2 linked regions of the Ovis aries genome follow. The protein of the gene in region 1 purifies or fractionates together with the protein of each later gene. This does not show direct contact. Links are inferred from orthologs where the notes say so. Each region holds a gene or a part of one and is shown on either strand. Other genes may lie near its edges.

What was found. Proteins that work in one complex are often made in the same cells at the same time.
Region 2: the proteins of SP1 (region 1) and CEBPB purify together in Homo sapiens (affinity purification with western blotting; 4 studies listed by BioGRID, with this or other methods). This does not show direct contact. The link is inferred for Ovis aries from reciprocal best matches to the Homo sapiens genes SP1 and CEBPB.

What each region holds. Positions count from the first base shown.
Region 1 is NC_056056.1:133,126,012-133,130,186, forward strand, and holds the start of SP1 (transcription factor Sp1), read right to left. Parts: upstream 2,802-4,175; 5' UTR 2,686-2,801; coding exon 2,679-2,685; intron 2,409-2,678; exon of another isoform or gene 2,268-2,408; intron 2,163-2,267; exon of another isoform or gene 1,713-2,162; intron 1,620-1,712; coding exon 1,465-1,619; intron 1,152-1,464; coding exon 1-1,151. UniProt on the Homo sapiens protein: Transcription factor that can activate or repress transcription in response to physiological and pathological stimuli.
Region 2 is NC_056066.1:78,225,794-78,229,467, reverse strand, and holds CEBPB (CCAAT/enhancer-binding protein beta), read right to left. Parts: upstream 2,487-3,674; 5' UTR 2,268-2,486; coding exon 1,215-2,267; 3' UTR 575-1,214; downstream 1-574. UniProt on the Homo sapiens protein: Important transcription factor regulating the expression of genes involved in immune and inflammatory responses. Also plays a significant role in adipogenesis, as well as in the gluconeogenic pathway, liver regeneration, and hematopoiesis.

The DNA.
Region 1 (4,175 bases):
TTCTGGAGGGTTTCCTGGGAGATAGCTTGAGTTGTAAAGGTCTGCCCTGACAATGGGGCGGCTTGGAGGGCCTGAAGAGCCTGTCCCCCTTGAACCAGCTGAGGCTGGATGAGAATTTGTTGTTGTTGCTGTGTCTGCTGGTTTTGCTCTCCCTCTTTTTGCTGACTTGCTTGCAGTGAACCTCCAGATGTCTGGTTCTGCTGGATGTTCAGAGTATCAGATCCCTGAAGCCCACTGACCCTCTGGGGTGTCTGGCTCTGAGAGTTGGTCCCTGCTGATCCGCTGGTGGTGAAGTTCATAATTCCCATGTTGCTGGTGGTAGTAGTTGTTGAGTAGCTATTGGCATTGGTGAAAAAGGAGCTGGAACTGGCTTGTGAAGATACCAAACTGGCAGAACTGATGGCAGTCCCTGAGGTGACAGGCTGTGAGCCACTCTCCTGGGACCCAGAGCTGCTGATCGTGACTGCCTGAGAGCTAGGAGTCAAGGTAGCTGCAGAAACGCTGTTGACAGGCAGCAAGGTGATATTCCCATTCAGGGCCACTGGTACATTGGTCACATACTGAGTCTGTCCTGAGAGTACATTATTAGCCAGGCCTTGAAGGGGGACAGCCTGCTGGAGTAGGTTTGGCATAGCAGCAATGATGTTGCCTCCACTTCCTCGATTTGTGATGATCTGTTGGTTTGCACCTGGTATGATCTGTATCTGACCTGAACCATCCTGCTGCACTTGGGCCCCAGTGGCAGCAAACTGCAGCTGTTGCCCATCAACGGTCTGGAACTGTGGGATTACTTGATACTGAATATTAGGCATCACTCCAGGTAGTCCTGTCAGGACTTGCTGGTTCTGAAGGTTGGAAGTGGCAGCCACAACATACTGCCCACCGGAGACCGTGCGATTCTTTGAAGACTCACTGCCATTGTTGCCGTTGGTACTGCTGCCACTCTGTTCCTTCGAGGTAGGGGTAGCCCCAGAGGAGGAAGAGATGATCTGCCAGCCATTGGCACCCTGGGAAAGTTGTGTGGCTGTGAGGTCAAGCTCACCTGTGCCCCCTGACTGGCTTGGGCCCTGGGAGTTGTTGCTGTTTTCATTGGGTGACTCAATTCTGCTGCAAGTTGCTGCCAGCAGAGCCAAAGGGGATGGCTGGGATTCCTGGCCAGAAATAAGGGAGAGGAAAGGAGTTACTTTAGTGATACCCATTTGCCAGACCAGGGGGCAGTGTAACAGCGCAAAAGGGGAAAAAAAAGAAAAACCCAACCAACCAAAAAGTTGGATCTATCTATACTGTTGAAACTCTCATTTAGGGGGATCTCCAAGTCACTTGTCTCTGTGCTTACTTCCCTATCTATAAAATGGTTTAGCCCTTCCCCAAAATTTTTTCTGTAAAAAGACAGTCATCTACAGTCATCTAAGGATATTTACAGCCTCTCAGCACCTTCCCCATTCTGTCAGGATCATCACTTACCTGCCCTCCTCCTCCGCTGCTGCTGCTACTGCCTGCGCTGCTGCTTCGAGCCTGAGAAAAGGCACCACTACCATTTCCATTGCCCCCGTTATTGCCACCAACTCCTTTTTCAATCTTCACCACTGCTGTCATTTCATCCATGGAGTGATCTTGGTCTAGAAATAATTTTTAAATAATTTAAAATTGGATAAAGCAAACTTAAAAAGTGAGAAAGGATAAAAGAAGCTGTGATGAAACAAATGACTAACAGGAAGGTGAAAGGCGCCAGTATTAAAAAAAGGATTCGGGGAGAAGGAACAGTTGCAGACCAGTAGGATGTGATCTAGGCTCAGTGATGCCAAAACTGGACCTCAATTCTCCCTTGCACAAAATTAAACTCAGAAAACATTGAAAAGGTGCTTTTGGTACAGGAAATACGAGGGTCGGCGGGCATGTTGAAAAAGTAACTTAGGGGGGAAAAAAGGATAGATAAGGCATAAAACATGTGGGTGGATGGAAAGTTTGCTAAAAACTAGGGTCAAAGGAAATGGAGAAAGAGAAAAACTCAAGTGTAAAAAGTAACAAGAGGAAAGGAGGAGAAAGGGGAAAAGAACAGATAAAAAGTTTGGGTGGGGAAACATTTATAAATACTAATAAGGGGCTAAAGAGGTCCAGGGGTTAGAAATCAAGCGATTCGGGGCGGCTAGAGGGCGGGCCCTAGAGGGAAAGGGCGGTTTCGGGGTGTGGGGCGTGGAAAGGGCGGGACGGTAGGGGGGAGGGGTAATTTACGGGGGGAGGGGTAATCTACGGCACGGGGGGAAGGGAGGAGGGCCTTGGGGCCGGCGGCGACCAGAGGGCGGACCAGGGAGGCGGTTGGCCCGGGCGGGGCCTGCTCTGCTCGGGCCGCCCCCGCGGCTCCAGCCCCCGGCAGGAGGAGCCTCAGGCGGGCAGCCGAGTAGTGGGGGGTAAGGCCCGTCCCCCGTGGCCGGGGCGGGCAGGGGGCGGGCGAGGCCACGCTGCCCCCTCCCCCGGGGCGGGTGGCCCATCCCCCTCCTCCTCCTCGGAGGCCCCGCCACTGCCCCTTCTCCCTCCCTTCCCTCCGCCCCGGGCGGGACCAAGGCCGCCGCCGCCGCCTCCCGCCCGCCCCCCCTCACGGCGGGGACCGCCCGGTCAGCCCTCGCGCGCGCCCCCTCACTCCCCTCCCACCCCTAAGCTTGGAGTGGACTCATCCTTACCGCTCATGGTAGCAGCTGAGGGACGAGCTCAAGGGGGTCCTGTCCGGGGGGGTTGGGGGGGGCCAGGAAAAACGCGGACGCTGACGAGGCAAGCGAACCCGGACCGGACAGGGAGGGGGGGGTAAGGAGGAGGGAGCAGCGCGCCACAAGCCCGGCCTAGGCCCCGCCTCTTTACTGCTGCCCCGCCCAATGAGGGAGGGAGAAAGGAGGGACTTGCAGAAGAAAGACGGACAGATTGCCCAATGCCAAGGCTCGCTTGCTCTCTAAGGCGTGTAAGACAAAGTTGCGTGCGTGGTGTCCGCCCCAAAAGATCGGCCTCTCAGTTTTAGAGGCCAATGAAAGAGGCAGGAAGTGAAGGTGGGCAGGAACTAAAGATGATGGGCTTGGGGAAGAAGCCAGTCAACTGCCAGGCGGGCTCCGTGAGTAGGAGGGATTGGAAGAGCTTTCATTGGAATGACAGAACAACAACCAACCAGAAGCTCGGACGTGCCTGGGCAAAGTCCTAGTGGGAGGAGATAAGAAGTAGACAGGAATGGGATAGGATGAAGCAGATCAAAACCAATCAGAAATCAGGCGGGCAGCCAGGAAAGTTATGATTGGATTAACACTGAAAAGAGACGCGATAGGACGCAAATTGACGTGTATAAAAGCCAATCCAAAGCCGCCTGAGCTCCGAGGGCAAGAACCTGGAGTGGGCAGAGGAGAATTGGCCTCTGCCTCAGTCGTTCGGTCCAATGAGGTGGCGCGGGGGAAAGTCAGCCACCGCCTCCACTTGGCTGATGGGCGTTACCAGAGCCGGGAGGAACAGGGCTGTGCCAAGAGGAGTCCGTCGCCATTTTGGCCCTCCTCTGGGGACGTCTTTACAGTGATTAGGTAGCAACGCTTCAGCTGAATCGTGCAGCTCAACAAGTGTCAGGCCGAGCCTCTCGGCGCAAAGTTTTGCTTTGACACCAAGGCTCCTTTGAGTCTTAATTTAACCGCTCTTAAAAGTACTTCTCGAGTCTCACCCCTTTAGGGGTGGGCGGAGAGGCAGGCGGATGCCTCTAAATGTGGTGTAAGCCCTGTGGGTACAGGCGCAAGAACTCTGGTGAGAGTTCTCACACAGCCAGTTAATGAGGTGACCGATTTGCGAGGTCTTTGTGAGACTCCAGCAAACGCCATTTTATTAAATTCTCCCAATTTGTCTGGTGCTGGCTACTTAAGGGGTTAAGTTTTCAACAGCTTGCATTTGGAGCTAAACTATGTTGGAGAACCTCCCATAATCAAGGTCTTATAAGCCACTTTCCGCTGCCGCTGCCGCCTTAATTGTAAATACGCTGTAAGCAAAGCAAAGTAGCAAAATAAAGTTCTTGCTTTTTGCAAGTGCATAAAAGGATTTTTCCTGAATTTCTGGCCTCCCATTCTGCCTTTCCTTTATCCTAGTTTTTGTGGCGGCAGCCTGGGTGACTTGTCAATAACGTGACAAGGTCATATGTTTTCTCACTTGTATGTTATATG
Region 2 (3,674 bases), on another chromosome or scaffold:
CATACACACACACACTATTTTCTAAACACCATGCCCTGCTTCACTTTTCAAAACAGTCTGCTCCGATTTGGGCTCAGTAGGACCAAGACCTGTACCCCTTCTTTTTCAGAGTCACAGTCCCATGGGCTGGGTCCCCACGCGCTGTGCAGAGATCAGAACCCGCAAAGCCCCTCCAAACCCAAGCCCCGGACTCAGGACCAGCCAGAGGCCCTGCAGGCCCTCCCCAAGCAGGGCTCCTAGTCACTCCTCCCCAGCACTCAGCCGCACTGAGTCACCCTCAAAGCCTGACCCAGCACTCCTCTGCCCCTCCCCCGCGCCAGGCCTGATACCCCCATCTCCAAGCACAGGCCCTGGGGGTGGGGTTGAGGGGGGGAGTAGCAGAGGAGAATAAGCAGCTGCAACACCCCCACCCAACCACCTAAAATGCCAAAAATAACAGCAGCTCTCACTCACACACACACACACAACAACAACCCCCCACACACCAGAAAGGCAAATATAAATCCAAAATAAAGGGGAAGAAAAAAAAATCAAAGCCAACTACTGCCCCCAAAAGGCTTTTTAAACATTCTCAAAAAAAAAAAAAAGTTTATTAAAAGTGTTCTTAATGCTCGAAACGGAAAAGATTCCCAAATATACAGATGCCTCTTTTTTCATAGAAATAGATTTTTTTTTATAATACAAAAAAAAAAGGCCAAAAAAAAAAAAACACCAACAAAAACAAAAAACAACATCAACAGCAACAACCCCGTAGGAACATCTTTAAGCGATTACTCAGGGCCCGGCTGACAGTTACACGTGGGTTGCGTCAGTCCCGTGTACACACGCGTTCAGCCATGTTTAAACCGATTGCATCAACTTCGAAACCGGCCCGCCCGCCGGCGCCCAGAGAGGGGGGGTGGGCAGAATGAGAGGCAAGAGTTTATCATTCATCTGTACACATAGACATCTCTTCTTTAAATAACACCACGGGCGGGCGCCCCGTCTGCACGTGCGGCTGGTGTGGACAAAAATATAGATAGATATATATAATAAAATATTAAAATTACCGACGCGCTCCCCGCGCTGCCCAGTGCCCCAGTGCCAAAGTTCTGCCGGCGCCGCCAGGGGCGCGGGCGGGCGCGCGGGCGCTCCCCGGAGTCTCGGCGGCCGCGGCGCGCCCGGCAGCGCGGGGGCCGGCCGGCCGGCCGCGGGGGACGCGCACGGGGGCCGCGCTAGCAGTGGCCGGAGGAGGCGAGCAGGGGCTCGGGCAGCTGCTTGAACAAGTTCCGCAGGGTGCTGAGCTCGCGCGACAGCTGCTCCACCTTCTTCTGGAGCCGCTCGTTCTCGGCCGTGAGCTCCAGGACCTTGTGCTGCGTCTCCAGGTTGCGCATCTTGGCCTTGTCGCGGCTTTTGCGCACCGCGATGTTGTTGCGCTCCCGCCGGATCTTGTACTCGTCGCTGTGCTTGTCCACCGTCTTCTTGGCCTTGCTCTTGACCTGCGAGGGCGCCGGCGCCGCCCCCGCGTAGCAGGCGGCGGCGGCCGGGGGTGCCTTGGCGTCGGCGGGGCTCGGCGTGCCGGGCGGGCTGGACGACGAGGACGTGGACAGGCTCCCGCTGCTGCCGCTCGGCACCGCCTGGTAGCCGAGGTAGGCGCGCAGCGCGTACGGGAAGCCGGCCGCCATGCCCGCGGCGCCGCCGCCCGGAGCTCCGGCCTCCTCCTTCCGCTTGCAGTCCGCGGGCTCGAAGCCCGGCTCCGCCTTGAGCTCCGCCGGCGGCGGCGGCGGCGGCGGCGGCGGTGGCGGGTGCAGGGGTGCGAAGCAGCCCGGGTGCAGCGCGCCCTTGGCGGCCCCCAGGCGGCCCAGGCTCACGTAGCCGTACTCGGCCGCCTTCTTGCAGTTCTTGCCCCCGTAGTCGTCGGAGAAGAGGTCGGAGAGGAAGTCGTGGTGCTGCCCGGAGGAGGCGGGCGCGGGGGCGGGCGCGGGCGGAGCCGCCTCGAAGGTGTCCGTGGCCGTGGTGGGTGCCGGGGCCTGCGGCGCGCCCAGCGGCTCCAGGTAGGGGCTGAAGTCGATGGCGCGCTCGTGCTCTCCGATGCTACCCAGCTCGCCGGCGGGGGGGCGCGGCCCGGGTCTGGCCGCCGGGGGCGCCGCGGGGGCCGCCTTGCCGCCGTACGCAGCAGCCAAGCAGTCCGCCTCGTAGTAGAAGTTGGCCACTTCCATGGATTTAAAGGCGGGCGGCGGCGGCGGCAGGGGGAGACATGCTGGGTCCCAGGCCACCAGGCGTTGCATGAACGCGGGTGCCCGGGGAGGGGGCCTGGGGCTGCCCGCGCCGGCCGGCCCGCAGGTGGCGCGGCCTCCCGGCTCCGAACAGTCGCTGCTGTGTCGCCGCCGCTGCTGCTGCTGCTGCCGCCGCCGCTGCTCCGGGGTGGCCGCTATCAGTGCGGGGGGCTGCCGGCCGGACCCTCGGGTGGGTCCCCTTCCCGGTCCCGTGCGCGGCTCTGACTCGCTAAAGTTTCTCCCGAGCCCGTTTATTTATAAAGGCGGGCCATAGCAACGGCTGCGTCACGCCCGGCGGCGGCCCCTCCCTCCCCGGGCACGCAGAGGACACGCCGCGGCCGCCCGGGACCCCCGGCCGGGCGCCGGCGGGCCGGCCTGGAGACCCGGAGCGCGCCCCCGGGGGTCCCCCGGCCTGCGGGGCCGGGGTGGGGGGCGGCCTCGGGCCCCCGCCCTGTCCACTCCCACCCGGCGGCCCCGAGATGGCGAGCGCGGAGAGGCGCGAGCCCGCCCCCGGACCGCCCCCTCTGGGCCGGCCGGCGGACGAGAAGGGAGGGGGAACCCGGGGAGGGGGCCGGGCGGCCGTCTGCTCCCACCCTGAACGCGGCCGCCGCCCGCCCCCTGCTGGAGGAGGCGCTGGCCTTCGGGAGCCGCGGCCGCCGGACCTGGCTCTCCAGGGAGGGGGCGCGCCCCTCTCCCCCCAGCCAGGGATGCTGGAGACCCCAACCCCCTCCAGCTCGGACTCCCGGAGGGGTGAGCCGCCTCCACAGCCCTCCCCCGAGTGCGGCCTCGCCGCTAAACTGGCACCCCTCCCCAGATCTGGACAGGAGGGACTCACACCTGCGGTGACTCCCCTTCTGAAATAGGAAGACCTGGGGTTGGGGGCTTGGGGAGGTGCAAACAAGGGGGCGAGCGCCCCTCCCCCGGCCCCGCCCCCCGCACCTGCCTGCTCCCTCCCCCTCGGACCACACCTGGGTCTTCTCCAGCCCCACCCCGCCCTGACCTGGGGCCCCCTCCCCGGAGGGTGGAACGGGGGTGGGGTGCCCCCCGACCACACGCTGTGTGACCTTGGACTAGTCACTTGGCTTCTCCAAGTTTAAGTCTGCGAGGGTGTCCTTACTGTTATCTTTATTAGTTGTATTAACTGTCTCCAACGCAGACTCCCAAACGCTCACCGCTCTGGGACACACATCAGAAAGAAGGGCCTCTTCCCAGTACAAAGAGGCCCAGAGGCCCACAGCACACCCAAGATCACACAGCTTCATGTTCCCCACTGTTCTCAAAAGAAAAGCCCTTATCCAGGCACCCTCAGAGCTGTTCGTCATCCCCCTCCCAAAGCACCTGTATCTGAGGCTGGTGGGTGGGGGTCCAGGCAGGACCCAGGGGGCCATGCAGAAGGGAGGAAGGAGTTCTCCTCTTTTA